Rhinolophus ferrumequinum: one gene and its partner. The protein of the gene in region 1 interacts with the protein of each later gene in a pairwise test. Links are inferred from orthologs where the notes say so. Each region holds a gene or a part of one and is shown on either strand. Other genes may lie near its edges. The genes, in order: DNAJA3 and TCF19.

Evidence for each region.
Region 2: the proteins of DNAJA3 (region 1) and TCF19 interact in a two-hybrid assay, tested with the Homo sapiens proteins (2 studies listed by BioGRID and IntAct). The two-hybrid records come from large-scale screens. The link is inferred for Rhinolophus ferrumequinum from reciprocal best matches to the Homo sapiens genes DNAJA3 and TCF19.

What each region holds. Positions count from the first base shown.
Region 1 is NW_022680357.1:5,623,097-5,638,523, forward strand, and holds the start of DNAJA3 (dnaJ homolog subfamily A member 3, mitochondrial), read left to right. Parts: upstream 1-7,318; 5' UTR 7,319-7,359; coding exon 7,360-7,570; intron 7,571-12,605; coding exon 12,606-12,739; intron 12,740-15,427. Other genes in the region: CORO7 (coronin-7), read right to left, coding at 1,179-1,238. UniProt on the Homo sapiens protein: Modulates apoptotic signal transduction or effector structures within the mitochondrial matrix. Affect cytochrome C release from the mitochondria and caspase 3 activation, but not caspase 8 activation.
Region 2 is NC_046286.1:1,657,155-1,672,874, forward strand, and holds TCF19 (transcription factor 19), read left to right. Parts: upstream 1-8,734; 5' UTR 8,735-8,765; coding exon 8,766-9,003; intron 9,004-10,023; coding exon 10,024-10,579; intron 10,580-10,839; coding exon 10,840-11,077; 3' UTR 11,078-11,579; downstream 11,580-15,720. Other genes in the region: CCHCR1 (coiled-coil alpha-helical rod protein 1), read right to left, coding at 798-904, 1,027-1,137, 1,626-1,775, 1,943-2,053, 2,182-2,317, 2,421-2,584, 4,615-4,918, 6,039-6,240 and 1 more; POU5F1 (POU domain, class 5, transcription factor 1), read right to left, coding at 13,007-13,273, 13,463-13,621, 13,913-14,043, 14,350-14,464. UniProt on the Homo sapiens protein: Potential transcription factor that may play a role in the regulation of genes involved in cell cycle G1/S transition. May bind to regulatory elements of genes, including the promoter of the transcription factor FOXO1.

The DNA of each region.
Region 1 (15,427 bases):
ACCATGCTTTCCCATCACTGCCCTCATCGTCCTGGCCCTTTCCATTTCCCACCACCACTCTTCCTGTAGCGGGCTGCTTCTCATCCTTCTAGCCTCAGCTTAAATGTCACCTTCCAGTAGCCTGCCCTGACCACCCTGGAGAGATTAACCCCTGCCTCACTGTCCATCTCCATCCCAGCCACCCCCCCTCCTGCCACGTTCTTCAGGGCACTTATTAAAACTCGCAATCCCTTGCATGACTGTCCGCTCGCTGGCTGTCTCCCTAGTGAGAGGCACCAGAGAGGACAGAAAGTGCTGTCCTGTTGACTGTTGCGCCTCCAGCAGCTGGGCACAGCACATGGGATGTTCAGAGGAAATATTGTCCAGAGAATGAAAACCAGTCTTGTGTCCGAGGCTGCCCTGATGTGCGTTTGCCCCTGATGGGGTCACCAGATGGGGTCAGTTTCTAGGCCCACTTATGGGAGGACACGCCAAGGCCTTCCAAACAACATGGGGAGCGGCTGATCAGGGCTGGCACCGTCTCCGCAGCACACTCCTCATCAGGCCGGCTGCTCTTCCGGAGGTCCGAGGAGCTCCCCCAAGCACCTCAGGGCTCCACCTTCTCGGGCTGCTCCAGGCCCCACCCAGGCCCTGGTAGCATCACTCGGAGGAAGGGAAGAGCTTGCGCCAGCCGCGAGAGGAGGAAGCACCGGCGGAAACCCGAGGGAGGGGCGCGCTTCTGTCCGAGGGGCTCCCCCTCCAGGGACACACCCGGACTCGCCGAAGCCAGGGAATATAGAAACATCTGTCCCACACACAAGCCCCGGGCAGGGGCGATCGGGACCGCAGGAAGGAGAAGCCGGCGGCAGCAGTGGCCGCGCCGCGGCTCCCCAGCGAGGCAGACCGGAAGCCGGGAAGGCAGGCAGCCTCGCAGGCCTCAAGCCTCCACCCGGCCGGGCGAGCTGCGCCGCCTCGGGGGTCCCGGAGCCAAGCGGGCGGGCCGACGGACCGCGGGGCTCACCCAGCGGCCAGAGAGCATCCAAGCGAGCGTCCCAGCAGGTCCGGACTGCGCCCTCGCGGCGGCGACCGAGCGGCCCCGACGCCGGGCCCGAACCTGAAGGGGGCGCCCCCAGGCAGAGGGGCTTCGCAGTCCCCGTGCGGGGCCGAGAGAGAAAGAGGGGGCGCGGGACTAGGCTCACCTCACGGCGGGGCGGCCGGGCCTCCGTGTGCCGGAACTTGGACACCTTGAAGCGGCTCATGGCGGTGGGGACCACGGAGCTTGCAGCTTCGAGGACCCGGGCGACCACCTTCAGGTGTACCGCAGGCAGCAGCGAATCCCGTACCCTCCGGCTCCGCCCGCGGCCCACCGCCCTCGGCCACGCCCAGACATGCCCCGGCCAATTGCAGCCGGCTCCGGCCCACTGGGCCCCGCCCTCGCCACTCTTCCTCCGCGCGCGCGTCCCCGGCCCCGCCCCTGAGCCAATCGCTAGTCGACCGCCCTGCGAAACCACGCCCCAATTGCGAAGGGGCGGTGGCGCGGGTGGGGAGGTCACGTGCGGCGTGCTGTCCGCCCCCGGCCCCTGGTTGAGTGCGTCGCGAGTGGGTGCAAGAGCCCGAATTTTGTGTGCAGGGATTTGCCCCAAGAGGCTTTCAGGGTGCAGAGACGCGCCCACTCTGAGGAGGAGCGAGGGCTTCTATTTCAGAAACAGTGAACACTCAGGGAGAGAGGAGTCGCCGATCCATGGTACACAGATAGTGAGTGGCAGCGGGGGAGCAGGAGTCCAGGTCTGACGCAAATCCCTGTCCGTGGGGTCTTCCCTAAAGCCTCTGCATACCACCCACCCTGCTTAGGCCAGGTGGGCTCGGCGGGAGGGATGGGACCTTCAGCATCTCCTTATAAGGGCATGTCTTGGCTGCAGGCCTTGGGCGAGGTGGGGCAGGACTCTTCGAAGGAAATCAATGTATCATAAACATATAAACTGAAAGGCCGAAAGATAGGGGCATTCTCCAGAATCCATTAAATAGCAAATATGCCCAACAGGCGCTGCTGGTATCCCAGGGCAACTTGGAAGGAAAGAGAGCGGGCTCATTCCCCGTGGGGCCATGCATTACACAAGCATTTCTCTTCGCTTTGAAAATTGACTCCGTGATTCCAGAATATGCTTTCTGCTTGAGAACAGACAGAACACCTGCTCGGGCGTCTGGAAAAGGGACTTTGATCTGAGGAATGCGAATGATTGGTCGGAAACGCTAGCTGCTGTGAAAATTCCCTTTGCGCAGTCTGAGGTAGGCTGTGCGCAGGGCGATTCGGAAAGCTTGGCCTGGAGATGGGTGCAGGTGGACCCCAAAGTGCAAGTTCTCGTTTCAGTTCATGGAGGACTAAGAGGCCACTACCGTATCCTACTGAGTTAAGAGCAACTTTGATCACCATAAACTAAAAATAGGATGTCAGTAGAGTTAACCGAAGGCTAGGATTTGGAATTCTAATCAGGCTGGCAGCCACTCCAGAATGCAGCTTTCCCATGGCACATACTCTTCAGACTCGAATTCCAGCAGCTTTGGAAAAGGCACCATCAATGCAGTCTTGAGTTGGTTGTAGTGTTCAATATTGTTTCTTTTTTTTTTTAATTATGGTAAAAACAACAAACTTTACCATTTTCAAGAGTACTGTTCAGTAGTGTTAAGGACATTCACTGTGTTGTACAACAGATATTCTTAAGATGGTAAATTTTATGTGCATTTTCCCACAATAAAAATTTTTTAAAATAGAAGTCAACTGTACACCTATTGCAAAGTTCATGTAAACCTCCCAAATTTGTTTTGGCACTTCACCGTTATTCGTTTTTATTGTTTGACCTACCATTATGATGGGCCTAACTGGGCACAGTCAGAAAGTGAGAAAGTCGTTAACCCCCAGAAGTAACAAATGGACATGCCATGGGCTGAATCTGGTCACATAATGTTTTAGTTGGTTCACGTGGTATTTTTAAAATTGAGACATTTCCTGAAAGTTTGAATTTCAGCCTCTTGAAAAATGGAAAGATTTGATTTAGCAACAGTGGGTCCTAATCCCCATATGGCTAAAATGGTTTGGAGCTGAGAAGCACCTGCCACCTTTAAAGCATGTTTTCCCATTTGCTGCAGTCCTACTGGTCCCTGTCATCTTATACATGGCCACTCCACCCTTACACTTTACCTACTTGGCCCTGACACCTGGGTTTGTGACCCCTGACCTCCCCCAGGAGAGAGAGAAGCCATGACCCTGGCTGTGCTGGATCATGTGACTGTATTTCCACAAACTCGGGGCTGGTAGTAGCACAGTTGGAGAATGTCGTCTTCCCCATTCCCACGTGACAAGCCTGAGCTCCACAGCAGGCGAGTAGAGGAGAGTGAAGGACCAGAGGGACATGGAGGCCCAGAGAGTGACCCAGATCCATTCTGACTGGGTCACATGTTCCCAGATCCATTCTGGCTGGAGAGTGATTCTTTCTAGTAGAGTTCAGAGCTCTAAGGCTGCTGCAAACTTGAGCAGAATAAATTACTTCATGAATTGCAAAGTTGAACTGACAGCCTCCAAGATTCCTTCCAGTCCCAAGAGCCTATGAATAACCAGCTTTGTTTCTTTATAGTCCTAGTAACTCCACTTCACTGTTTGTCTCTCAGGACTCTGGAAGACACCTCTCTACCCTAAAATTTTTTTTTATTGGGGAATATTGGGGAACAGTGTGTTTCTCCAGGGCCCATCAGCTCCAAGTCGTTGTCCTTCAGTCTAGTTGTGGAGGGCGCAGCCCAGCTCCAAGTCCAGTCACCATTTTCAATCTTTAGTTGCAGGGGGCACAGCCACCATCCCATGTGGGGATTGAACCAGCAACCTTGTTGTTGAGAGCTCTCACTCTAACCAACGGAGCCATCTGGCCACCGCACTTAGGATGCATTCTTAAACTGTGACACCAAAGAAAACATGTTTCCAATAGGATGTTCCTTTAATCTTCTGTAAAGTCAGTGGTTTCTGTAAATCAGAATTTTTGCAAGAGAAGGATGGATGAAGCCAGCTTCAGTGCCAGCAGGAAATTCCTTACATCTAGTTATCTGCCCCTGAAATGGTTGCTTATTAATGTGCACATTGAAAACATTTTTGTATGTAAGCCCTGCCTTGTTCATTTCAGGAGCTGGAGCAGAAAGGCACATGCAGTTATCAGCACAGGAAATGGACAATTATGCAACAAAATACATTTTAAAAATTTGGAAAAACACTCATTCTCCCCAGCATGACAGTGCACCTTAAATTATTATTTTATTGCTTCTCAAATGAAGGTGTACCCATATGTTCTTGGGGCTCTGATGTTTTACTATATCTAGTGATTTTTGACTTTTTACAAGAACTTGCAAAATATTTTAGCAGAAACTCAAAATGTAACTTTTGTGGTGATAATTCACAACTACAGGGCATCTTTCATAGAAAAGGTGATGTTTTCTAAAGTGATGTTTTTCAATTGGAGGCTACTGATCACCAGAGGATTCAGAGCTTTATTCTTCGTGTTCATGATCTTTTTTTTGCCTTTAAAAGATTTCCTTTTATTTCTCAAGTTTGTGAAACGTTAAGTTTAAGCCTAGTTTGGGCAGAAGAATATTTAGCTGTGAGCTGGTGCCACGTGTGGTTTTATTTAAAGGGTCTTTTAGGAAATCATTAGCACAGAAAACCCAGACAACTGAGGAGAGGGCACAGGTCAGTTCGTCTCCTTCTTTTGCAGGGAACTGCACCCACGGCAGATGTTATGTCCGGGAACATATAGGTTACACATTTCACATCCCCTTGGACTCGTCCCATAGTCTCTTGGGAAAGAAAGGAAATGCTACAACTAGAAAAATCATGAGCTAGCTTTATTGCCTCTGAAGAGACTGGCCGAGGCCCTTTTGCCCTCCCTGATAGGGCTCCTTACATGGGGAGGGGAGCAGCCATCCCATTGCATAGCCATGGACTTGGCCAGTCCCATTGTACCTTGGATGGTTAGTGTCTGCAGGAAATCACAGAGTAGACCATACTTAAAACTCCTTACCAGCTCTCACAGATCTCACTACGTCAGGAGAGCAGGAAGGGCCAAGTGGAACAGTAAAATAAAAAATGTAGAGAGGGAGGTGCTTATGAAATCTGTGTGCCTTTTGCAAGTAACATTTGTTTCTCCTTAAAGCTAAAATTTTTGGCTTTAGACTGGAGACTGGGACAGGGGAGGGTGAGGAGGGGAGAGATACAGGACATATTCTGCCTGGGAGTGTGGGAGGTGTGGCCTGTGTGCTCATCCCAGTTTTTGCCAACAAGCCTGGAAAGTGTCCATTAGTAGCCACCATCACCCACTCCATTCCCTTGGGGTCTCTCCTTCCTAAAAGCAAATGTGGGCTCCCCAACAACCAGCCTTCCTGCTATCCCCTAAAATAAGAACACATACCCCCTTTCAATGTGGACAATTTTTACTGTTAATCACTATGGGGAAGTAGATGGAGGGAAAACTAAAATACCAAAAAATGAGGAAGTTACAGAGCTGACAAAGTTTTCATATTAGTGAGCCCTCCTCTAGTGTCTAACTCACTTTGAGGTGGTAAGTGCAAGTCCCTTTGCCTTGTTTTCGGCTTTTATTCCTGAAAGTTGTACTTCTCAACCAGCACCCTCTCCCACTCTTTCTCCCTAGGTTTTGGGCTCCATGTGGGCAAGTAATTGTCTGAGTTCTGCTTGGTATTGTCAGTGCTTAGCAGAGAGCCTGGCACATAGGACTAACATATTGAGCACTTACTATGTGCCAAGTACTGTATGAAGCCTTTACGTGGATTATCTCACTCCTCAGATCATCCTTTGAGTTATTTACTGTTACGTTCCCCTTTTAGAGAAAGGAAACTGAGGCAGAGATGTTAAATATGTTGCCCAAGGACACACAGCTGGTAAGTGGCAGAGCCAGAATTCAGACTCCAAGGCTCATACACTGAACCACTGCTGGAAAACATTTAAATATTGGTTGAATATGTTAACAGATCTCTTTTCCCCCACTTCTGACCCCTTTTTTCTTGTTTCTCTAACATTCCCTAGCCCAAACTCAACTATTTTTTGCACTTTACAATAGCCTCATAACTGTTCTTCACTGGGCCAGTGGTTTTTAACCTTCTTTGAACCTCAGAACATGTGATGAATTTGATTGCTGAAAGCTATGGACTAACATACACATACAAAAAAATTTGTGTACAATGGGAAGGGTGGGGAGGAGCACAGATCATCTTTAAGCCATCTATGAACCTCCAGGTTCCCTTTTTATTGTTTGAGGTGGTGGTGGTGTATGAAAGTTGAAACTCCTTTGCAAGACTTACCAGGCCAAGTTTATCTTTCTGGCCTCATCTCCAGTCACACACCTTAAGTTTATGGCTTAAACAAATAAGGCAAGCACTTTCCATCTCCAGACATCTGCTCTTTATCTTCTTGCTACTTGGAATACACTTCCGCTCCACCCCTACCTGAGCCACTTTTCATTACTGGAATGTTACCTCTCAGATGCCTTCCCTGACACCCCAATACCCCAACCTCTGAGAAACCCCTTCACCTGTGTTCCTGTAAAACTGTTTGTGCCTACGATAGCACTGATCACGTTCGTTGCTAAGGAGCCTGTGTCTCTCAATTCATCGTTGTGCTCTTCCAGAGCAGAGATAGTATGTCATTCCTCGTTGTATCCCCAATACCCTAGAACGTGCGTGACACACAGATGCTCACGATGTTCATTAAACTCGTTTTGGGGAAACTTGTCTCACTCTGCGACCGGCCAAGTTCACTACAGGTTTGGAGAAGGCTAACACGCTTAGGAGAGACCTAAGGGATCAAAGTCCGCCGCGTAGTGAATCAATCAGAAAAGGTGAGTTTGAGGACAGAATCTGGGAGCTGGGCAGAAACTCCGACCGCTCGCCCGGACGCCGGAGGAGTAACAGGCAAGAAAACGTTGTCAGGAGGAAGGAAGCCGTGTACTGCACGCTGCGATGTGCGCGACTGACGGCCGCATTGCACGCCGGGATTTGTAGTCCCGCCCTTTGCCGGGCCCCTCAAACCAATTACACTCAGCTACACTCAACCACAGGCTTATACAGATAAGGAGCAGTCGTGATCCTCCAGCACAGAATTGCGAGGTTCTCCAGGGCAAGTATATATAGTAGCATTCTTTAGAGCAAACCTCATTTCGGTGTTGGCTACTAGGAAGGCGCATTGGGTGCAAATAAGCGTGCGCAACGCTTGTGCTTCTGCGTGCGCGCGCAGCGGGCCTCGTCTCCCGATGTGCCGGCGCTGCGCGTGCGCGTTATTCTCGCAAGGCCTGCTTGAGCCGGCTGGCGCAGGCGCAGTGTCCCCGGGCCAAGATGGCGGCGTTGTATTCCACACGCTGGTTGCTGGTGGCTGTGGGGACCCCCCGGCTGCCAGCTGCAGCAGGGAGAGGGGCCTGGCCGCCCAGGGGGGGCGTAGTGGGGGCGTCGCTGGGCCTCAAGCTGAGTGTTACCACCTTCGCGCCTTCCTTGGGAGCTCGCGGCCCCCGGGCGCTGCTGACATTGAGACCCGGTGTCAACTTCACAGGTAAGGGCAGGCTCCAGCGCCCGAGTGGGGCCTCAGAGGCCTGGAAAGGGGTGACTCTCCTCGCTCCAGCTACGGGGTAGCAGGGTGGAGGGTGTATTCCGACGCGTATACGGAATTGCTTGGGGAGACTGGCAGGCAGGAGGCAGAGAGGTCCAAGTGGGTACCCAGAAGCGGGGAACGAGGGAGAGCTGCATGGAGCTCCCGCCGGCGGGGGTAAAACGTAGGCCGTAAACCTTCACCACTCTGTCAACATTTTGGGAGGCCTCTTTCCGGGATGCTTCTGCTCCCTTCCCCTATTCCCTTCTTGCCCTCCAGTTTGTAGCCTGTAGCGGAAGGGAAGACGTAACTGCCATTGGGTGAATACCTGCTCTTATGCTAGGCACTTTGTGTGTCATCTCACTTGACGGTAACAGTAACCCTGCGAGGTGGGAATCGTCGTCACGCCCATTTTAAAGAATGGGTAACTGAGGTTCTAGCAGAGGAACTGACCCGCCCAAGGTCATAAAGTTATATAAGAGTTGTCCCAAATCCAGAGCTGTACTTTCATAGCTTACACTCTTTCCACGAAATGCAGTAAATCGACAAGGTACACTTAACGGTCTCTTTTAGAGGTCCTTAAATTGGTAATTGTAATAATACAAACGTTTATTGAGCACGTACTATGTACCAAGCATGGATCATTTCCACATGGTAGACACTGTTATTATTCCATTTTTATAGATAAACTGAGGCTTAGATGGTAAACAACTTGTAGAATGTCACAAAGCTAAAAAGTGGTAGAGCATTCATTCAAAACCTACTGTGTTCTTCATAGTCTGGGTGATAGTGAATTAATATTTATTAAGCCTTTAAATGCTTAACCATGATAGTTTCTCATGCTGTGTTGGGTGATTTTCATTACAGAGAGAGAAGAAAGGAGGAATCATTGAACAACCAACTATATGCCTGAATTGTGCTAGTTGTTTTTGTCCCCTAGAATTTGGGCAAATGATATTTAAACTATTTATAACTTTACAAAGATGATTAATTAAGGGCCCTAACAAGGTAATTTACACAAGATAATTTCCTATTGAGGTCCAGTTCTGTAATGCTGTCATTAAATACCAGTAGTTGTGATTACTTTGTACAGTGAGCAAACTCACCTTCACCTGTGTGTGTGTGTGGGGGGGGGGGGGAGAGAGAGAGAGAGAGACAGACAGACAGACAGACAGACAGACTTGGGTGAATTATTTAATCCCTTTGAGCCTCTCTTTCCTTAACTGAAAATTTATTCATTCATTCACAGGTGTTTATTGAGGGTCTGTCATATGCCAGCCACTGTCCTAGGTACTGGGGATACGAGATTGAATTTGGTTGTGGTCAAGTGATCCAGTTTTTTAATTCTGTTCCTGCCACCTGTGTTTCCTCATGAATGGAGCGGTATGCCCAGGTTTCCTCAGGATTATTTGGAGTGATGTCATTCAGTATTTCTCAGTATGAGCAAAAGTGGTCATTTTCAGGTTTAAGTAACATTTTCTGATGTCAAGCTAAATATGTTCACACTACATTTATACAAGTTGGGGAGCATTTTTGGTGTGTGTGTGTGTGTGTGTGTGTGTGTGAGAGAGAGAGAGAGAGAGAGAGAGAGAGAGAGAGAGGCACTCAGTACTGAGCCTTGTATGTGGTCATTACTAGGGAACTGCAGTCATCTCTCCTGGTCCCACTCTATAGCCTGTGAAGGGCATGTTTTGTATCAAGTGAGAGGTGGCATCTTTCAAAGTGCGCTCTGATATCACATCTAAAGTCATCAACTCAACTCTCAAACATTGGTCTGTGATCTCAAATCGAGTGGTTCAATTAGATGACATAAAAACATTTTAAATTCTCCTTCTCTCCCAAGGGCAGAAAGAAGACAGTTATTTGACACTGCGTTGGGCATTCTTGGAACGACTTGGAGGCTGATCCTATTCTGGGTTATTCTAAAAAGAGCAAGACATTTATTGGTCATATCTTGGGGAAAATTTGCCTATTAAATGAACTTTCTAAATTATTGCTAATCATGGATGCCTTTTGGATAATGTCAAAAGTCATCAAACTTATAATAGTTAAATATGATTTCTCTTTACTCGTGTGCAGTTTTGCATCATGCTAACCCAAGTCCAGGTTCTCTGCTCACGACATTGAAGCTGCAGCTGGAGGGGGCCAGGGTAACTCGTTCATAAGTGAAGAGGGGCTTGAGTGTAGAAACGCTAGGAGACTACAAAGTATTAGGTTGGTGCAAAAGTAATCGCGATTTTTGCAGTTATTTTTAACCTTTTAAATCGCAAGTACTTTTGCACCAACCTAATAGCTCTACTGTTTGCCTCAGATCTGACTAAAGAAAGACAGCAGTGTTCTTCTAACTCCTACTGCTTCCACACTGCTTTTCATTTTCCAGGAAGTCTAAGAAGCAGCAACAGAAACCAAATATTGGGGATACTGAAAATACAGATTTTCTTCCTGGTTCTGATTTTAATCATTCTGACCAGTCTTACTCATTCTGCTGTCTATTTATCGCTTTTCTTGGATATGCTCAACACCCTCGTTGTCTTTGGTGCTCAGATTAATTTTAAGTAGTTGCCCAAACCTAGTTGGTTTTTTTGTTTGTTAGTTTGGTTTTGGTTTTGGTTTTTTGAGAGCTCTTCCTCGTGTAAACCTGACCATTTCCCTGTTTAACACTTTCAGTGGCTTCCTAAGTTTAGGGGTTAAGCAAATAGGGCAAACACTTTCTATCCCCAGACGTCTGCCTTTGATAAGATCCACACTCCTTAGCATAGCTCAGAGGCCCTTCTGCTTATGCCGAGGCCCCTTTAATCATCATCTCTAACCACCCCTCTACCGTCCCCACAACACCATACACAGGCATGTCTGCACACACAGTCTTTAGCTACATCATAGCACCTGCAGTCCTAAATGCACAGGACTGAACCACTCCCTCCAAACCTAAGGTCGTCAGAAGATTTCGTGGCCAAATGGGGCACTTCTGAAAGTGAAAGGGGATGCTGTTGCAGATAACACCAGGACTACAGATGTAAATCTGGATGGATTCAAACCCCTCCTTAGCCTGCTAATTTCTACAGTTTAACAGTATGTGCCTTAGGAACCTTCCCTGAACTTCTTAGATTGGGTTGCCAGTGGTTCTCAACTGGAGGTGATTTTACCCTCCAGGATACGTTTAGTAATGTCTGGAGACTTTTGAGTTGGGGAGGGAGGACCAGATGGGGTGCTACTGGCAATTAGTTGGCCAGGGGTGCTGCAAAACATCCTATAATACATACTACCGGTGAGTATATTAGTTTGCTAGGGCAAAGTACCACAGACTGGGTGGTTTAAACGATAGAAATTTATTTTCTTTTTGTTCTATGTTTTGTCAGGATTCTTTCAAAGAGCCTACATCCACTACAGTCACCTTCTGAAGTGCTGGGGGTTAGGACTTCAACATATGCATTTGGAGGGGGGATACAGTTCTGCCCCTAACAGTATGACAGCACCCGCCTCCCTGCCCCACCCCTGCAAGACGAAACTAATCCCTTCATCCACCCCTTCTTCCACAGGGCAGAGATTGAGAAACCCTGGTGAGGTGACCCTCTGTATAGTCTCACTCTGCGTGTCTTTGTGTGTTAATCTCTTCACACACTGCCTTCCCACACCGCCTCGTGAGAGGGGTTCCTTGAGGGCTTTGGCTTTGATTTTTATTCATTTTGTATCCTTGTGCCAAATACAGTGTTAAGCTCTTGAATATATGTAAGCTCCAGGAGGACAGTGCCTTCAGATGGTTTGCTGCCATGTCCCCAGCATGGAGCCTAGTGCCTGGTAGGTGCTCAGCAAGTAATTGCTGAATGAATAAATGCTCAATATTTGTATTTGCTGAATGGATGAATGAATGAATAGTGAGTACAGAAGCTTCCCTACAGGCGAACGTTTGCCTTAGAAACCTGGAGCTGCCTCCTGATGCTCAGTCTTTTTCTTGGCCCTCCTGTCCCTTCTGCCTTAACTTGCCCCTTTCCCCCAACCTTGCACTCCCCATCTTCCAGTTGTCACAGGGTGGGGTGGGGGTTAGGAGGCAGGACTCAAGGTTGTAGAGTAACTTTGTGTTTGTGACAGGCCAGTCCCAGTTAGCGCTCTGCTTCATGCACAAAGGGCAGGCGAGTAGATGTGCCTGGTGGCCTTTCCTCCCAGCTGCTGATGCAAGAGGCCTGAAAGGAGGCAGGGCATATGGCTGCTTGCCATGTGCTTTGATTCCTTTCAGGTTGTCTACTCTGGCAAACAGAGGTCTGGCACAGGGCCTTTTAACCTTGTGTGTCTATATATGCATTGTTTCTAGAGGAAGGGTCAATGCTTTTATCAGATTCTTTTGAGAGATGTGTGACTCCAAAGACTGAGAATCATTTCTTCAATACAGTGGTTCATAAGTTGAGCCTGTGACAGAATGTCACCTTGAGGGCTTGTTAAACAAGGCTCTACCCCACCGACAGAATTTCTGATTCAGGTCTGGGGTGGGGTCTGAAAATTTGCGTTTTCAATAAGCTGATGATGCTGCTGGTTCAGGGACCATACAGAGTACCACCCTATAAGCAGATACCCAAGGTTGCGTGTAGAGGGAAAGAACATGGGGAGTTGTTAAGCCTTACGTGAGACAAAACATGAGAATACCTGGCACGTGGCAGGTGCTCAGGCAGAGTAACGGGAGCCAAGTCCCCTTTTAATCATCTCAAGGTACAGCCCCCATCTGGGGTACGGTTCCTTTGATGGTTAATGAGGCTCCAGCGGTAGTAATCTAGTAGGATCAGCCTCACCCAGTTTTATATTGACGTTGTTTTATATTCTTCTTGTACTGCGGCCTTAGCCATTTTTGAAGTGCAGTGGATTCGGTCTCCAGTGGGCTTGGAGGAGAACAGGCCCTAAAGCTGTGACCTATTTGCTCCTTCACAGGTATAACCTGGCTGGTTGTTTACTTACAATTTCCTTTTGGTGAGCATATTCCCAGAGTGATTTTCTTTCCTTTTTTCTTTTTTAGGAGTACAAAGTTACCCTTTTGTTTGTACTGCCTCTTTCCACACGAGCACCCCTTTGGCCAAAGAAGATTATTACCAGATATTAGGAGTACCCCGAAATGCCAGCCAGAAAGAGATCAAGAAAGCCTATTACCAGGTCTGTATGGAAGCCAGATTTTAGAGAGAAGATTTGTAGAAGGAATGCTATTATTCTAGTCTGATCCTGATCAATGCAATGCATATGCCTGTACGTATAGGACATAGATAGCTGACAGTACAGAATGCTATGGTAAAGATGAGCTTTGCTAGACTGTTTCTCAGTGCATGATGCTGCACTAGTTAATGCTTCACAAAGAAGGGGAGAGTCAGAACCAGAGATTAAAAAAAGTCTTTTTCCACAGCTGTTTTTGTACTTGAATTTATTCTGCACCTTCTGAATCAGTAGGCGTGCTGGTTTAAGTTTTAGGTAGTCATCCGTTGCATTCAGATAAAAGTTTATGGACTTAGAATTATTTCTTCTCTTAACGCAGAAAGTATGAAATTCCCATCGTCACATCCCAGAACGTATTAGGGCTGATTGGTATAGTGGCATGTGAGTTACCCAGACCAGTGGTTCCCAGAGTTTTGCTCAGATAACAAAATTAAAATTAAAAAAATGGGTACCAGTGTAGGATTGCCAGCTTTTGTAGATGTTAAAAATAACAACAGTTTATTAATGTTGTTTGATGAAAGAGCATCTTAATACCATAAAAATAGGAAAGCCATAATATCAGAATAAAGAAGAGATCTTTACATTAAATAAAATATAAATTACATGCAATAATAAATTACCTTTATGAAAAATTTACAAGATTCTTGAATTTTTCTTTTTTTTCTTTAAAGATTTTTTTATTGGGGAAGGGGAACAGGACTTTATTGGGGAACAGTGTGTACTTCCGGGACTTTTCCAAGTCAAGTTGTTGTCCTTTCAATCTTAGTTGTGGAGGGCGCAGCTCAGCTCCAGGTCCAGTCACCGGTGTTAACCACTATCGCTTGTGGGAGTCGAATCAGCAACCTTGTGGGCAACCCTGTGGTTGAGAGGACGCGCTCCAACCACCTGAGCCAGCCGGGAGCTCAGCGGCAGCTCAGCTCAAGGTGCCGTGTTCAATCTTAGTTGCAGGGGGCGCAGCCCACCATCCCTTGCGGGAGTCGAACTGGCAACCTTGTGGTTGAGAGGATGCGCTCCAACCAACTTAGCCACCTGGGAGCTGAGCGGCAGCTCATTGACTTCATTCTGGTTGCGGAGGGCGCAGCTCGCTGGCCCATGGGGAAGCCAACCGGCAACCCCGGCACCCAGAACCCGCGCTCTAACCAACTGAGCCACCCGTCCGTCCTTTTTTTTTTTTTTTTTTTAATGGGTGAGCAAAAACTTTGTCCGAGCCCAATATTTGTGAACCAAATACTGATCAAGACCAGACGTAACAGCTTATGGCTTCTATGGCTACTTCCTCCTCTTACTTTTTTAAAAAAGTGTACAAATTTACTGGTTTTTAGTTTATTCAAAATTGTACAATCATCACCACAATCAATTTTAGAACATTTTCAACACCTCAAAAAGAAATCCTTATACCATTAGCTCTTAGACCCCATTCTGCTCTCTCCTTGCAATTGCTACCCTGCTTTCCGTCTCTATGGATTTGCCTGTTCTAGACATTTCATAGAAATGAAAGCATACAACATAAGGTCTTTTGTGACTGTCGTCTTTTACTGTCGCATAATGTTTTCCTTTAGCATAACGTGTTCAAGGCTCATCCACGTTGTAACGTATCAGTGCTTCGTTCCTTTTCATGATCAAATAATATTCCATTGCACGGATATGCTACATTTTATTGGTCCATTCATCAGCTGATGGCTATTTGGATTGTTTCCACTCTTCCGTTACGAGTAGTGCTGCTATGAACATCCATGTATCAGTCTTGTGTAGACCTGTGTTTTCATTTCTCGTGGGTATGTGCATACACCTAGGAGGAGAATTGCCGGGTCAAATGATAACTCTGTGTTTAAACTTTTAGGATCTGCCAGACTACGTCAAAGGGGCTGCACCATTTTACGTTCCTTCCAGCAGTGTGTGAGGCTTCCAATTGCTCCACATCGTGGCCAACACTTACTGTTAGCTGTCTTTCTCATTCTAGCCACCCCAATGGCTGTGAAGTGGTGTCTCTGGTTTTGATTTGCTGGCTAATGATGTTGAGCATTTTCCCATGTGGTTATCGGCCATTTGCTGCGTATGTGTTCAGATCCTTTGCCCATTTTTCGAGTTATCTTTTATTACTGGGTTGTAATGGAATGAACAAAGGCATGGGGATAGGAACCAGAGAACCTGGAAGAGTGAATAGCATGTCTCTTCTTTTGAGCTGGAGGGTAAGGTACCTGATGCAAGGGTGGGAGAAGATTGAAAAGATGGAGGCTGGGGCTAAATTAATGGGGCATTTGAGGCCCTTAGCAAGTACTAGAGACTTAATTTAAGAGAGAGTAGGGGACTATTCCAAGTTTTTAGTTGTAGAAATTTTTTAAGTAGCTTTATGGAACAGATACTGGGGTCATTTAATCCTCATGCAAGAGGCTTGGTGAGGTTATGACACAACCAAGGCCACACAGCCCATACATGGCATACATGAGACTAAAATACAGGTCTTTCTGACTGTAAAAGGCCTCTCTTTGCCTTGTGCTGATCTCATGAGCGTTCCAGCATGTCTTATCTTGGCGTTTGGGACCAGCCAACAGACATTCTTGCCTTGGCATTGGAACCAGCCTTGCCATGTAGCCCACTGTGATCTAGCCATGCTTGAGGCACCCCCTCCTCCCC
Region 2 (15,720 bases), on another chromosome or scaffold:
GTCCCCAAGGTACAAATCCAACAGAAGGGGTCGGTGCACAAGGACCCATCCTGCACCACAATTTTGTTAAATCAATTATGTGATCAGTCAACAAGAGCCACGTGGTAACGGTAAGCATTTACAGAGTGCAAGCGACAAGCCAGGCCCTGTGCTAAGTGCTCTGCATGGCCCAGGTGCCCCAATGACCAAGGCTGAGGGGAGATGTTCCCAGCACAGAGAAGCTTGAGTTTCTCCTTAGAGGTCTTTCTAAAGGTTATATAAGGAAACACCTAGAAGCTGGTACAAGAAACACAGGCTTGTAATTGATTAAGAAGGAAATTCATACCTTTTATACAGAATGCCTATAAGCTGGTAAAAGTGTACAGCTTTAAAAATAAATAGATAAAATGTTTTTCCAAGTAATCAGGGCATGCCTGTAAAACTGTAAAGAGAGAAAGAAAAGATCGAGTATCCACACTCCCCATCCTCGAACAACTTTGAAGGTAGGGATCCTCGCAGGTGCTCCATTAGCTCAGGCTGTTCCTGGACCAGACTGCAGCAGGACGTGCTGCCTCAGCTCCAGCCACACACACAGTGGGAGTCCTAACAAATGACCCTGGTGGGAACGTGGAGGGCTGCTCCAGGAAAAACAAGCACAGGAGCTTTTACAGGCGTAATACCTCTGCCCTGCTCCTCCAGTGGCCAGCTTTCCAGCCCGTCTTGCCTGAGTTCTTAAACTCCAAGGTGCCCGGGAGGCTGGGGAAGCCGGAACACTACCCCCACCCTCCCTGCCCTCCCACACCCCCCATCCCTGATACCTGCTGACGGCACTGGCCACGAGCTTCTGCTGCTCCTCAGCCGTGGCTGTCTGCTGCTGCCGCCGGCGCCAGGCCTCCTGGGCACGGCTCAGCTCCATGTGCAGGGCCTAGAAGGGTGCCATGAAGAACAGGGTCCCTCCTCAGCCCAGCCCACAGACCCAGCCCGCTGGGTTTCCCAGCCCGCCACTGTTCTCTGCCCGCCCCTGGCCTCTGCCCGCCTGACACTGACCTTGGCGCCAACACGCTCCACCTCCACCTCTGCGGCTTTGTCCTCCAGGGAGCGCTGCAGGATGGCCTGCTCCTGGCTCTGGGCTACGGCTCTTTCCTGGAGCTCTGCCACCTGGGGGAGGACAGGAGGCAGGGCACTGAGGGACAGGTGCAGAGGTCTCTGAAAGAACACCATGCAGGGAGACCAGAAGCGTGGGTTCCTGAGAATGGAAACCAAGGTTTCCTTCCAGAAGCATGTTCCATGTGCCCACACCTTGAGGAACTGCCCTGTGACCCACAAGGACCTGCACATGCCACCTCCTCCAAGAGGCCGTTCCTGAGCATCCTGCCTGAGGCTGCCCCCCCACCCCCCGCAGTGTCACGTGATCAGTCACCTTTTTCTTCACAGCTCACATAATGACCTGACCTTACCTAACCGTCTGCTTGCCTATTGTGCGTCTGCTCCAGAACCTAAGCTCGTGAGAGCAGGTACTTGTTTTTGTTCAGGGCTATGTTCCCAGCACGTGGTAACCACACAATAGTATTTGTTGAATAAATGCCATCCCTTATGTAAAGAGCAAGTTGGGGTGAAGAACATGGGAAGAAAGGGCGACGGGTGACCTGTCCCTTCAGCTGCTCCACACACACTCTGTGCTCCAGCTCCTGGGCCTTCAGCTGCACCATCAGGGCAAACACCTTCTCCCGCCAGCACTGCAGCAGGGACTGGCACTTCCTGGTGAACTCAGGCTCCAGGGAATCTGAAGGCTGAACCTTTGGGGCGGAGGAGGGGGACAGTGTGGGCTCCTGGGGGAGCAGAGGAAGGAGGCAGCATTTCGCTTTCTCTCTGTGCTGCCCAAGCAGCAGGAGCTGCAGCAAATTCAGGGAAGGAAAGTCCTCCACCCCCCGCCCCCCCCCACACACAGGGAGGCCCGGCCTACCTTCCTGGCCAGCTCCTGCTCCTGCAGGGACAGGATGTGTGTCAGGCTCTGCACGCGCACCTCCAGCAGTCCCGCTGTCTTGCGCAGGCCGGCCCGGTCCTCCTGCAAGTGCTACCAGCAGGAGAGAGGCCTGTTTGCACCCTCAGGGAAAGCTGCTCTCCCCAGGGACCACGCCTCCCCTGGGATCCTGGCCTCCCGCCCCACCCCCACCCCCACACATGCACCCTACACTTTCTCACCTGCACGGTTTCTAGAAGCTCCTGTCGCTCCGACTCCCACGTCTGGCTGTGGACCTCAGGAGGTAATTGTTCCCCCACATATCTCCTTAGATTCTCAACCAAGGTCACCTGAACCTCCAAGTCTTCTTGGGTTTTGCTAGTATTAGGGTGGAAATAGGGTACCATCAGTGGGGCACCCTGGAGACCCGCCCCACCCACCAATCGCTGGGCCCGCCTTGGGGACCCCACACCCCACGTACTTGAGCTGCTTCCGCAGCAGCTCGGCCTCCTTCTGGGCCTCAGCCAGCTCCTTAGCTTCCTCTGCCCTCCGGGTCTCCAGACTACTCAGAGACTTCTCCAAGCCCTCAGCTTTGCTGGTCAGACTGGAAAGAGTCTCCTGGTGAGCCTGTGTCAAGGAGGAGAGCTGCGGAGAGAGAGGGCTCAGCAGGAGCTGGCTCACTCCCACATCCAGGCTTTCTAAATCGGCCCTGCATTGGCCTTGTCCCCTCCCACTTTCGGTGACCTCAGACAGCCCAGCACACACATCACCTGACTGAGCACGGCAAATGGAGACAGTCCCCGGCGCCTTACTCCCCCCATCACTTTCCAATCCATCAGCAGTTCCGGTCAGGTCTCCCCCAAATCATACCTTCACTTCTCTCTACCTCCGCTGCCACCAGCCTGATGTACGCCACCCTCGTCTCAGGCCTGGACGGCAGCAATCTCCTCACCAGGCTTAGAAACCTCCAGTGGCTCACCACGGCATTCCAACAAAACCCAGTCTTTCCCGCAGCCTGCGACGCCCACTGTGCCCTGGCCTCTGCCCACCTGTCTGAGCCCGTCTCCCATCACTCTCCCGCTTACCCAGCTGCTCAGATTCAGGGGTGAGGGGCACACGTCACCTGTCACCTCCGCGGGAAGGCGGCCCTGGGCCTCCAATCCCTACCCACCCCTGCTCCGTCCTGTCGCCTGTTCCTGTCCTTCCAGCACTTACCGTCTGAGATGACCTTACTTCTGTGTGTGCTTACTGTCTGCCACACCCCCTTCAAAAGGAAGTTCTAGGAAGGTAGGAATCTTGTCCTTTTTTTACTGCACCTTGAACAGTGGTAAGGGTGTTGGGGACACTGGAGGGGTCATGGGACGGGGGTGGAGGTGGGTGGAGGGGGGAGGCTGCTGCCCGCATTTCCAGTCTGTCGTCCCGCCCCCTGCTCTATTTCCATACCACAGTCAGAGTCATCTTTTTGGACATAAATCACAAAACTGGTCTTTTGAGATGTAAAATACAAATCTCATCACATCACTTTCCCATTTCACTAGCTGCTGTTCTTCAGATAAAGTTCTACGTGGGCCCTGACGTCCTGCAGTCACACCACCGCCCAGAGCCCTCTCGTCTCCTGCACTCAAGGCTCTCAGGCCCCCTCCTGTCACACGTGCTGGCCACTGTCACACCAGCTCCCACAGCCACCCAACCCGTCTCCTCACCAGCCAGCTCTTATTCTGCATAAATGTCAACTTATCATTAAGCATCTTTCATGAATCTAAAGGCATTTATATTTGTCTTTGACTATCTCCTTTGTCCATTTTTTAACGGACATTTTTTGTGTGTTTCCTTTGTCAGTTTCTAGGCCCACCTTATACAGTGGAGATATCAGCCGCTTCCTGTGATTTGAGCTGTGACTACTCGTATTCCTTTCTGGTTTATCATTTGTCCTTTAATTTTACTTTTATTTTGTCACTCCTAAGTTTAGTATTAGAAAGTCAATGTACCAATCTTTTCTTCAATGGTTCAGAATTTTGATTCACGCGTAAAGACCGTGAGGTTACAGAAGAATTCACCCAGGTTTTCCTTCAGTATCTTTATGGTTTCACTTCTTAACTAGGATAGCCTTCCTTAACTCCCCTACCAGGTTAGGGCTCCCTTGTCCTTCTTCAGGGCACTTCTCCCAATTGCAATTAACTAGGACTAAATCAAGTATGGAATGTGTGTGTCCCCACTAGGCTGTCAGCCCTGCCACAAGGGCAGGGACTCGGGCTGATGTGCTCACTGTGGAGTCCTGGCTCTCATCTCAGGGATGGCAGAGTAAGCTCTGACAAGTGCTTACCGACTGAACAATCTCCCCTTCCCAGCCCACCTCAGGACCCCACTCCTCCACCCCGCTGCCCCTAATGCTCCCAGATGAATCGGGTGGCCAGAGTAAAGTCGGAAGACAGAGTACTCCCTACTGGAAGGGGAAGGAGGGCTTCAGGTGGGGGAGATCACCTGGGTCCTGGGGAAAAGTGCAGTCTGAGTAAGAGCAAACACCCAAGGTCTCCCTCTTTCCAGGTCATGTTTTTTCACCTTCACCAAACGACTTCTCATCACTCCACTGCTTTTCTTTGATTCCTGCTCTCTGCCGGGAAATTACTGCCCAGTTTCCCACTATGAAGCCGAGCTCTTCCCACCCCCACATTCACCTGCTCCTGGTGCAGCCTCTGAATCTCCTCCAGCTCCCGCTGGCTCCCCTCTTCCAGGTTCTTCCGGACAACATCGGCCCCAGCCAAGGCGGCACGCAGGCCCTCCGCCTCAGCTCGGCCGGCCCTCTCCGCCCGTGCCAGAGCCTCCAGCTCCAGGGCCTGGGCCTCCAGCCTCATCTGCTGCTGCAGCGAGGTCTCCCGCAGGACCCGGGCCTCCTCTTCCAGCCGCCGCAGCTCTTGCAGCTGCCAAGAGATCAGCTCAGCCTGCTGGCTCAGGGCCTGTGACCCCTGCCGCTCCACGGACCTGCAAAGACAGGTTAGCACAGGTGAGACCTATCTCTGAGGCTGGGAAGGTGGCCAGGGCATAAATGGAGACAGAAGAGATCCCTCTGCTCCTATGTGAGGAGACGGGGGGATGAAGCTGGGCCGTGGGGATCTCTGCATTCCCAGCACCCTCGTCATCCATGGAGGCCCTACTAAGCATAGAAGGTCCAGTGCCGGGGCTCAAAGGACCTAGACTGGCTGAGATCATGGAACATGGCCTCTGGAGCTACACACAAGGATGTCTTAAACATGAAATGTGCACATCATTAGTGCACACATTCTGAATTAGAGAGGTTGGAAGTACATGCAGAGACTTCTGAATTCTGATTTAAGGGCAAGGTAAAGTCTGAGGGAGATGAGCAGAGAGCGCGCTCACGGCGCTATTGGTGTCACATAAAGTTACAGCTTATAACATGGCTGTTGGCATAGCGCCCTCACTGGGGCCCAGAATCACAGGGTTTTTTTTTTTCTTTAAGCAGGGAACTATAGCCTAGAGAAGTTAAGTGACTGGCCAAAGGACCCCTAGCTGGTGCCAAACGAGGAACAGAGTGTCTCTGTCTCCTGACACCCACTGCAGTGCTCCCCCTTCGTCGTCATGCTCCTTCCTATTTGATGGGGTCCGAGGCAGCGCTGTCTCCAATCCCACGCTAGAGCACAACGGCAGAATGGCATTCCAGTACATTTGGGAAAAGACATACGTGAAACAAGAATAAGAATCTTTACAGACAACACATTGACAAATAGCACAGTGAGCTCCCACAGCCGGTGCTCCATCAGGATGAATCCATCCAGCACAAAAACAGTCTCAGTTTGAACTTCTTCACCTTGCCTTGTATATCATGCTTATTACGATCAGCTGTTGGTCAATCGGTCTCTTCCCTTAGGACTTGAAATTCTTTGATATCAGGATTTCTCCTATTTATTTTTGTTATCCCCATCCCTATCGTCTAGCATGCTGCCTTATTATTATTTATGCATTGCAGGCACCAATAATTGCTTACGGAAAAATGAACAAACTACCAAACTACGGTATGAAATTTCAGTAAGCAAGGGTCTCTGGCAAGCCAGCCTGAGAACACAGTGTGACAGCGGACCCCTACCTGCCTCTCTGCCCTGGTTCCTGCCCATCGCCAGAAACATCCCGTTCCCACATGATCACTTGAGGTTTCTGGTTGTCTGGCCGCCTCTCTGAGACATCTTGATGGGCCAGGGGAATGTCTGAGACCCAGGTGGGAGCCATTCTTGGTTTGGTAGGAAGGGGCCGCGCTTGAAAGTGGGATGGGGGAATGAGCCCAGTGGAACCTGAGGAATCACAAGGACAGAGATGGTCAGTTTCCCAGGAAGAGACAATCACCAGTCCCCTTGCCAGGTCCCACTGACCTGAAGGTCGAAACATCTCCACATTATTTGAAGTCTCTAGATTCTGTGTCCAGCCATCTATGTTCCCCTGGACAACAGGAGAAACAAGGGCACTCCAATTCAATTTTCAGGCCACCTTCCAAAGAGAAAGCCCCTAAAATAACAGTCATTATCCTTAAATAAGAGCCAGGTCCACCAGACTCTAAGCTCCTCTTTTTCTACTTCCCGGAAGTAGGAAATACCCAAAGATCACTTGTTTCACCCAACCTGGTCCCTGATAGAACTGGGGCAATAACCATGAGATGGAGGGAATTTACTGAAACAGGCTAAGAGGGAGCTCTTAGGCTTTACTCAAACTTTTCAGGTCTGGGTAGTGCCTTTACCCTCCTCCTCAGGTTTTTATAGTCTCTGCCATTCTTGGTTGGAGGTGTGTGGTGCCGGGACTGTGAGCCCAGTCTCCAGAGTTCTCTCCATGGCTCAGCAGGCCTTGGGGAAGCCCATCCGGACACCACCAAGCCATGACTCCTGGGCCCTTCCCTATTAAAGCGCTGGCCCAAGCTGACCCCAGATGAATGTGGCCACATGTAGGGCAGGGCGCCTCCCCAGAACCCCTGGGAATCTAGGCAGCCTAGATCCCTTGGCAGAAAAGCCAGCTTCCTGACATCTCATGCAAACCCCTCTAGCAACTTCCTCTTAGTTTCTCTATCCCCTTAACTTCCATTCCTGCCACCCACCCTCCTCTCTTCAGCGTCCTAGAGCACAGCGAGGGCTCTTCAGGGTCTCCCACCCTCCCACCCAAATTCACCCACTTTTCCCTCGATCTAGGATTCCTCCCCCCTCCTTCCCTACATCCTAATCTGCTTTCTCCTTGAATTACACTGCTCCCTCACTCTCACCTTCATCTCTCAGCTCAACAGCCTCCTCTCTTCTCCCTACTCTAGCTGGCATTCAGTCCGTTCCCCCCTAACTCCCCCAGACACCCCTGAGTCTTCACCCCGATATACCCGGAGCTCTAAGGCTATTCTGACCCCCTTATCTGTTCCTTTACCCGGCGCCTGTACCCCCTCCTCCCCTATGGGACCCTGATCCCAACCCAAACCCCTTCTCAACCCCTTCCCACCCCCAACTGACTCTTCCCGAAAGCCCCCTCACCCAGCACGAGAACCCCCTTTGCCCTTTCGCCACGCCCCCAACTCCTTGCTGCGGCGCTGGTCCCGCCCCTGACCGCGCTTGCGCAGAGTGGACCCATTGGCGGGCCGCTCAAAAACCGGAAGTGGGGGGGCGGGGAAGAGATACACGCAGGCGCAGGAGTGTCTAAAGCCCTGCCCAATTACCACGTTGGGGCACCTCCGCGCCCTGGCGGCGCCTCCTAACTCCCGGAACCCGGGAAAACTTGTGAACTAATCAGAAAAAGTGGTAGGCGGGACATCGGGGGAGCCTGCCAGCGCCCCGCCCAATGGAACGGAGGAGGGCATAGGGGCTGGCCAATCAGGAACGGTACGGGGGAGGGGCGGGCTCGCTGGCGCGAAATTCGGACCGGGGAATTCCGAAGGCGGGGTCGGAGCTGCCCGCGCGCGTAGGCCGCTCCCCTCCTGGCCCGGCTTCCTCGCTGTCAAACAGCAAGCAGGAGCGGCAGCTCAGGCCGGAGCCCGAGGGGTCCCGGAACGCTGCACAGGCTGGCACTGCCGGAGAGGAGACCACTTCGAGACTGCACCGCGCGGTAGATCCGAAACGGAGCTGGGGCGGGGAGGCAAAAGGCTGGGTTTGCCTTGCATGATCTCGGGGAGCTCTTTCCTTTGTTATTATCTCACCCGAAAAAGCCGGGAAGCAGGGATTTAGATCCACTTTGCGAAAGAACGTAGGGACCCGTTTTCACTGCCTTTTGGGAGGGGGTGACAGTGGAATCACTTTCCACTGGGGTTCAAGCTAACTAGTTATGTGCGAGGGGTTGGCCAGAAAAGAGAGGCGCGGGCGAGCAGGAGGGCTGGCTACTCTATTTGGATAAGCAAGTCTGACAGGAAGAAGCTTCTTTTCCCCAAATTATATCGAGGCGACAAGTTAGTATTGCACAGAAGTAGGACGCCCCCATACACACCTACAGTTCCCAGTTCCCCAGAAGCTGCCGAATGTATGTTACCTTGCACAGATTGAAGGCTTTCCGAATATTTTGCAGACTGAGGATCGGTTCATCTAAAGTACCATAGGACGTGTTCGTTTTTGCACTGCACCGGGACCTTCCCAGAATTTTCAGTTCAAAGCTGCTTGACAGCCAGTTTTGCATCACGTGCTTAGGATCCTTGGACTGAATTTGCACTGCTCAGGGGGTGTGCTCAAAGTTGAAATTGCACAAATCATAGCTCAAGTTTGCATCAGACGGAAAGCGAACTTGGGCCACCGTGCATGGCTCAGGAGTGGGGAAGGTGATGGATTCCTGAAGTGGAAGAGGTGGGGCCGAGGGGGCGCCGCCCATGCTGCCCTGCTTTCAGCTGCTGCGCGTCGGAGGCGGCAGGGGCGGTGATCTCTACACCTTCCACCCCCCAAGCGGCGCTGGATGCACCTATCGCTTGGGCCACAGGGCTGACCTGTGTGATGTGGCCCTGAAGCCCCAACAGGAGCCCGGCCTGATCTCTGGAGTCCACGCGGAGCTGCACGCCGAGCGCCAGGGTGATGCCTGGAGGGTCAGCCTGGAGGACTGCAGCAGCCAAGGTGAGCAGTGAGCCGTTCTGGGCCGGGATGATGAAGGGGCTCCCCAGGGACCCTGCCTGCTTCCCAAGCGCCCTGTCAGGTTGGATGGATGGTTGTAGTCCAGACCTCTTGTCTTCTCACCCAAAGTGTGCAATGTCAGCAGCTCTCTGCCCGGCTGACTCTTGGTGGCCCCTGTTTAGCTCATACAGGGGCTGGGAGGTAGAGCCAGAGCCTGGGCAGCAGGGAAATATCACAGTGGGGATGTTCTGGGGCCAAGCTCAGGCCTGACTCAGTTTCCAGATTTGCTGAGGTGCCTTGTTCCTGTCTTAAGGCAGTTAGGATGCTGAACTGTTTTAATGATATGGGCATGTGTCTTACTCCCTGACTCGGAGGTGGTCACAGCCAACCTCAAAAAGCCTGGGCTCACATCTGAGTTCTGCCACTGGCCCCAGGTGAAAACTCAGGCCTGTCACTTCATTTCTCTGAATCTTAGTTTCCTCTTAGGTAAAGTGGAAGCTTTGTAAGGTCTGTTTGGGGAGTGTGGTGGGGATTAGGTAACTATAGTAGCCGATATTCATTTAGCGCTTACTATTGAACCAGGCACCGTTTTAAATGCATTGACTGTGGACGAGCATTAACATCAGCCCCGTTTTAGACAAGGAAAATGAGGCACAGAGGGTAACTTCTCCAGGGTCATGAAGTGGGCAAGTGGTGCAGTCAGGATTCAGACCCAGTCTGAGCTCCGCTGAATGAGCTGGGAGACAGTGAGCACGTCAGAACTGGACTTCAGTGGAGTGAGGGAAGGGGTCTGTTCCCTCCTTGTCCTGTGGGAGGGCATAAGAAGTACACTTGTTCCCAGCTCAGAAAGAGCTTAACATCTGATGTCACCTGCTGAGGGACTTAGAATGTGAGAATTTGATGACAGGTGCCATATTCTTCCTCACGCTCCCCAGAAAATCAGACAGGACCAGATTTCTCTACTCCTGACTCTGGTCATGTTTTTGTCATTCTCTGTATCTGTCTGGTGCCCGTCATCAACAGGGACTTTGGTCAATAATGTCCGACTCCCAAGGGGTCACAAGCTGCAGTTGAGTGATGGTGACCTTCTGACCTTCGGCCCTGAAGGGCCCCCAGGAACCAGCCCCTCGGAGTTCTACTTCATGTTTCAGCAAGTCCATGTCAAACCTCAAGATTTTGCTGCCATTACCGTCCCACGGTCTAGGGAAGAGGGACCAGGAGCTGGTTTCTGGCCCATGCTGCCCCCACAGGGGGCTCCACAGCGCCCCCTCGGCACCCTGGCCTCAGCCCCGAGAGCCACGCTGATCCTCAACTCCATTGGCAGCCTCAGCAAGCTCCAGCCCCAGCCCTTCACCTTCTCACGGACTGGGGGTGGGCCACAGAGCCGGCCTGCTCCCATTCCCCCTGGGGCAGTGGAGACCGCCCCTTCTGCCCCACCCCCAAGAAATCGGAGGAAATCGGCTCACCGAGTGTTGGCAGAATTGGATGATGAGAGAGAGGCTCCTGAGAGCCCCCCACTAGTCCTTAGAGAGCCCAGGAAAAAACTCCGAGTAGACAAAACCCCTCTGACATCTAGTGGGTAAGTGGAGAGATCGTTTTCTCAATGTTTCACTGCCTTTTGATTCCTTTTTAGAGCCTCAGGTTGGGAGGTGGCCCTCTGCTTGGGGTGGGGGGTAGGAGGTGGACAGAGAACAGATGTTGGAATGGCAAGACCTGGTTTAGCTCCTAACCAGGTTCACCATTAGTCTAGGGAGTCTACATAGGTTCAGGTATCATCCAGGGTAAAGTACTAGGCTTCTACAGGTTTCCAGTGACCCTGGTTTTTCTCACTTTCTTTAGAAATCGTCATGGGCGTCCTCCGAAGTACCCAGTGAGCACCATGACTGCCCCTGCTGCTGGGGCCGGGGAGCCCTGTGCAGCCCCTTGTTGCTTCCTGCCCCAAGAAGAGACAGTGGCCTGGGTTCAGTGTGATGGTTGTGACGTCTGGTTCCACGTGGCCTGTGTTGGCTGCAGTATCCAGGCTGCCAGGGAGGCTGACTTCCGGTGCCCAGGGTGTCATGCGACTGTCCAGACCTAAGGCCCTCCACCAAGGGGCCAGACAGCTGGCACCTCCAGGCCATGGGTGGACACGAGGGAATACCAGTGGGTTCTAAGAACTGCTTTCTCTTGCCTGCCCAGGAGGGAATGCCCACAGTGCTGGGGTCCATTGCTATGGGTCTAGAACAGGCCCTCATGGCCAACGTGACAGAAGAGATGGTTTCCTGCCAAAGATAACACTGCCTGCAGGAAGTTGCCAGTGAGCTGGAAATTCCCAGGTCCTGGCTGCCATTCACACTAGAATGTCTGTGACCAGAGCTCTGGTCAATTGCAGAGACCATGCCTGGGAAGATGTAAGCCCCAGACACTAACAAGTGAGTTCTCAACATTCTTGGATGGCATCACCTGAGGCATTCTGGGGGAAACCTAGAGCACTGCCCCCAAACTTCCTTATATTGTGGGGAGTCCTATTGCTGACCCTGTTTGTAGCCTGGCTTTTCAGAGGTTTGCTTTCATTTCCAAATAAAGAGTAGCTTCATTCACTGCCATTTATTCTTTTTGTGGGTCTCATACTCATGCTTTCCAATTCTTGGGAGAATGGCCTTGGGAAGGTTTGCAGAACATGAGTTCTTAAGGGCCTGGGAGATGAGCAGAAAAGGCAGAGAAATACAAACCCGTTCACTGGGGAGATGCACATAGGTGGGATGAGCTGGAGATGGGAGATGGGAAAAAAGGAACCCAGGTAAGAAGTCTTCTCCTTTAAAGGAAAACAGACCCAATGCCATTAAAATAAGGGAGCTGGGGTTTGGTCAGTTTCATGTAGATGGCAGAACTGTTACAAGCTTCACTTGTACAGACACACCTCAGAGACATTGCATGTTCAGACCACTGCACTAACGGGAGCCATAATCTTTACTGGTGGAGGGCCTTGCCTTTGACTTGTAGAAAATGCAACATCTGTGAAGCGCAACAAAACAAGGGTGCTAGTGCTGCCAGGGAAGAGAAGAGCTGGTCAACCAGCCAGAGCAGACCCTGGCCTGGTCCCGTGTGCATCAACCTAACCCATGCACGGTTCACTGGTTTCCTTCTGTGACCCTTACACCAAGCCAAGGTACCGTCAAAGCAGTGTTTCTGTTCTTTCTAGGAAAGGCCTTATCTTGGTAGTCTATTGCAACCTGCATGTCTACCCTCTCTACTCCTACCTACTTACCAACCCAAGTGTTTCCACATCGAGGAAACAGCTCTGGAACCAGGACTAAAGTGTGGGGCCTGCTGAGTCATTCATGGCCAGGGTAGGCAGAAACCTTAAAGGGAAACCAAATGAACCCTGGTGTCAGGACAGCACAAGGTGGCGTTTCTGGCTGGGGTCACTGGACATGCAGAGGTAAGAATCTAAAGACTCGATTTCTTAGCAGGACAACCCCAAGGACTTCCAGTGTACGGTGGGGAAAGCAGAGCCAGCTCCTGGTAGGGAATGGCTACATAACAACATCTTGGGCTGAAATAAGGGTGCAAATTCCCTGGGACCCATGTCATGAGCGCCTAAGAACTAGCTCGTGCCTACAAGGACCTTTACAAATAAACATGTTCCAGTCCCACTCTCATTCTGATACTGTGTGACTGAGCAGGTATGGCACTTTGGCTTCAGGGTCGTTTGGGTCTGAGAGCTGTTAATATCACTGCTGGGTATCCCCAGGACCTTCTTCAGTAAGGCAAAAACAAAAGTATCCACCTACTGTGTCCCAGGCTTCTTTATTTAAGATCAAAGTGATGAGTGAGTGATGTGGGGATTAAAATCAAGAGCATCATTGAACTTCATCTTCCCTCCAACCAGTTGCTCCAAACTCCCTGCCCCCACACCCTCTGTGTTCCCAATTCCTTAGTGAACGAAGAACTTAACCCCAAAGCCCCAGCACAATCCTCAGGGTTCTCTCCCTGGCTCTCCCCTTTCTGGCAAAGGGCAGGCACCTCAGTTTGAATGCATGGGAGAGCCCAGAGTGGCCACAGACACAGAGGGAAAGGCTTCACCCTCAGGGAAAGGGACTGAGGAGTACAGCGTAGTGAAGTGAGGGCCCGCATAGCCTGGGGTACCAAAATGGGGCCCTGGTGCCAGAGGAAAGGATACTGGTCCCCCTGAGAAAGGAGGCCCAGAAGCCTCAAAATCCTCTCGTTGAGAATAGTCACTGCTTGATCGTTTGCCCTTCTGGCGACGGTTGCAGAACCACACTCGGACCACCTAGGAGTGGAGGACACAAGGGAGAGTGACACTCACTCATAAACTCCAGGAGGTGTGCCTGGTTTTATGAGGTCATTTGGCTCCAAAGCAACAGATCCAGAGTGGCTGGAGGGCAAAAGCCAGAGCTAGGGCAGCGGGCAGGGCCTGGGGAGGAGGACTCGGAGCACGGAGCACGCGGAGGGCACTCACATCCTTCTCAAGCCCGAGCTGCTGGGCGATGTGGCTGATCTGCTGCAGCGTGGGCTTCGGGCACTGCAGGAACATGCTCTCCAGGTTGCCCCTCACTCGGTTCTCGATGCTTGTCCGCTTTCTCTTTCGGGCCTGCACCAGCGTCTCTGCTTTGCATATCTGGGCAGGTGGGGGCGGGGGGGATCAGGGGAGGAGATGGGGAGCAAGCAACAGCACCATGACATCAGGGACTCGAGCAAATTGCTAAGGGGCGTCACCAGAGCCAGATGGTATGAAAAAGAATCCTACAAGGGTAGACCAGTGGCTCTGGACTTGTCCCAGCAGCACTGAGGAATCATCTATCCTCCATCCACTGAGGACTATGGCCCCTAAGGGAGCTGCCAGCTGGGGGTGGGAGCACCGACAGCAGGTTGAGCCACGGAAGGTCCCTATGCGCCCACCGACCCTCACCTCCTGCAGATTCTCGTTGTTGTCAGCTTCCTCCACCCACTTCTGCAGCAGGGGCCGCAGCTTACACATGTTCTTCAAGCTGAGCTGCAGAGCCTCGAAGCGGCAGATGGTTGTCTGGCTGAACACCTTCCCTGGGAAGGCGGGTTGAAAGAGAAGCAACATGTGGCAGCAGGCAGGGACCCAAGACCCAAAATTCACCACCCCTTCCTGCCCTCACAAGGTCCCACCCAGGATTCCACTTCTTCCCAGAGGGAACTCTGGGACCAAGTATCTTCGTCCCTCCCTCTCTACCCTTTTCACGGGTGAGAGCAGAGCATGCCCTGGAAACACCCTCCCCTCATGCCCTTGGTAGGGAGGAAAGGCCAAGTTCAGGAATGTTCCAAGGGGAGATGTGGTCCCTGGGTTCTGTGGGTCAGAGCATGCTGCCGGGGACCCACCAAAGAGAACCCCCAGGGTGAGCCCCACGTCGGCCTGGGTGTACCCCAGGGTGATCCTCTTCTGCTTCAGGAGCTTGGCAAACTGCTCGAGGTCTTTCTGCAGAGCTTTCATGTCCTGAGACAGCATTTAAAAGGCAGAGGACACGTAAGAACACAAACACCAACTGTTGACCCTCTCCCCACCTGGGCCCAAGGGGCGGTCTGCAGGAGTGTCTGCATCCAGCCTGCCCACCTACCATCTAGAAACAACCTATCTACAAACGTCACTCACCCCAGAAGCTGCAGAGCACCATGTGTGATGGAAAGACCAGTCCTGGACTCAATGAGAACACCTGTCAGGTTATGAAGGGAGCTCCTGCCTATTAGCTCATTAACACCAAATCTTTTCGACTGGAGTATTAGCCGTACAGAAATAAAGACCCCTGTGTCTCTCTGCTTCTCATTTCAATATATTTCCCCAGCTTTCTTCCAGGGTCCCACAGACTAAGACACGGCACGCATATCAGAGAAACACTACAAAAAGTTACAGGTGTCATAAGAGGTATGAGTAAAGTGCTTTGTATATAGTTGGTGCTCAGTTTTTTACAACCTCTGATTCTCCCCTATTTTTATATATTTTTTGCAATTTAGAAGCATCCTCGATTAATTCAACAGATTTATGGTACACCTTCTATAAGCCAGCAGCTACACAATGTAGACAAAAAGCCCTAGCCTCACGGAGCTTCCATTCCAATGTGGAGAGACAAATAATTATTATCCAGTATGTGAGTTTGTTAGAAGTACCGTGGGAAAGGTAAAGCAGGGTAGAGGATTACAGAGTACAGCAGAGTAGGACATTATGGGGAAGGGGACAATTTTAAATATGATGAAGAAGGTGAAGTTTGAGCAAAGAGAATGAGCCAAGTGAAAAGGCCCAAGGCGGGCAGCCCTGGAAGCAGCAGGGGGCTGGGTGAGTAGGCTGACTCATGGAAGAGGGAGGGGTGTGATCTCAAGAGGGGCAAGCAGGGCAGAGTAGGTGCTGCACTCACATGATCAGAACTCTCACATTTCAAAATGTGCACTCCAGTTGACACGGTGACAATAGACTGAGGAGGAAGTGAGGGTATAAACCAGGGAGGCAACTGCAGTTATCCAGGCATAGGTGGCGGTGGCCGAGACCAGGGTGGTAGGTAAGTACTGACTGAGGGTATATTACAAAGGTAAACATGGCGGGGTGTCCAAAGGAGTGGATGTAGGATGAGCAGGGAATGCGAACGCCTGAATAGCTGGGCGATGGGTGGATAAGGGGGGACACTCAGGGAGCCATCCCAGCAGGAGACAGAAAAGATAGAGCAGAGTTTGAGGGACTGAGCCCTGGGGCCCTTCAGTGAA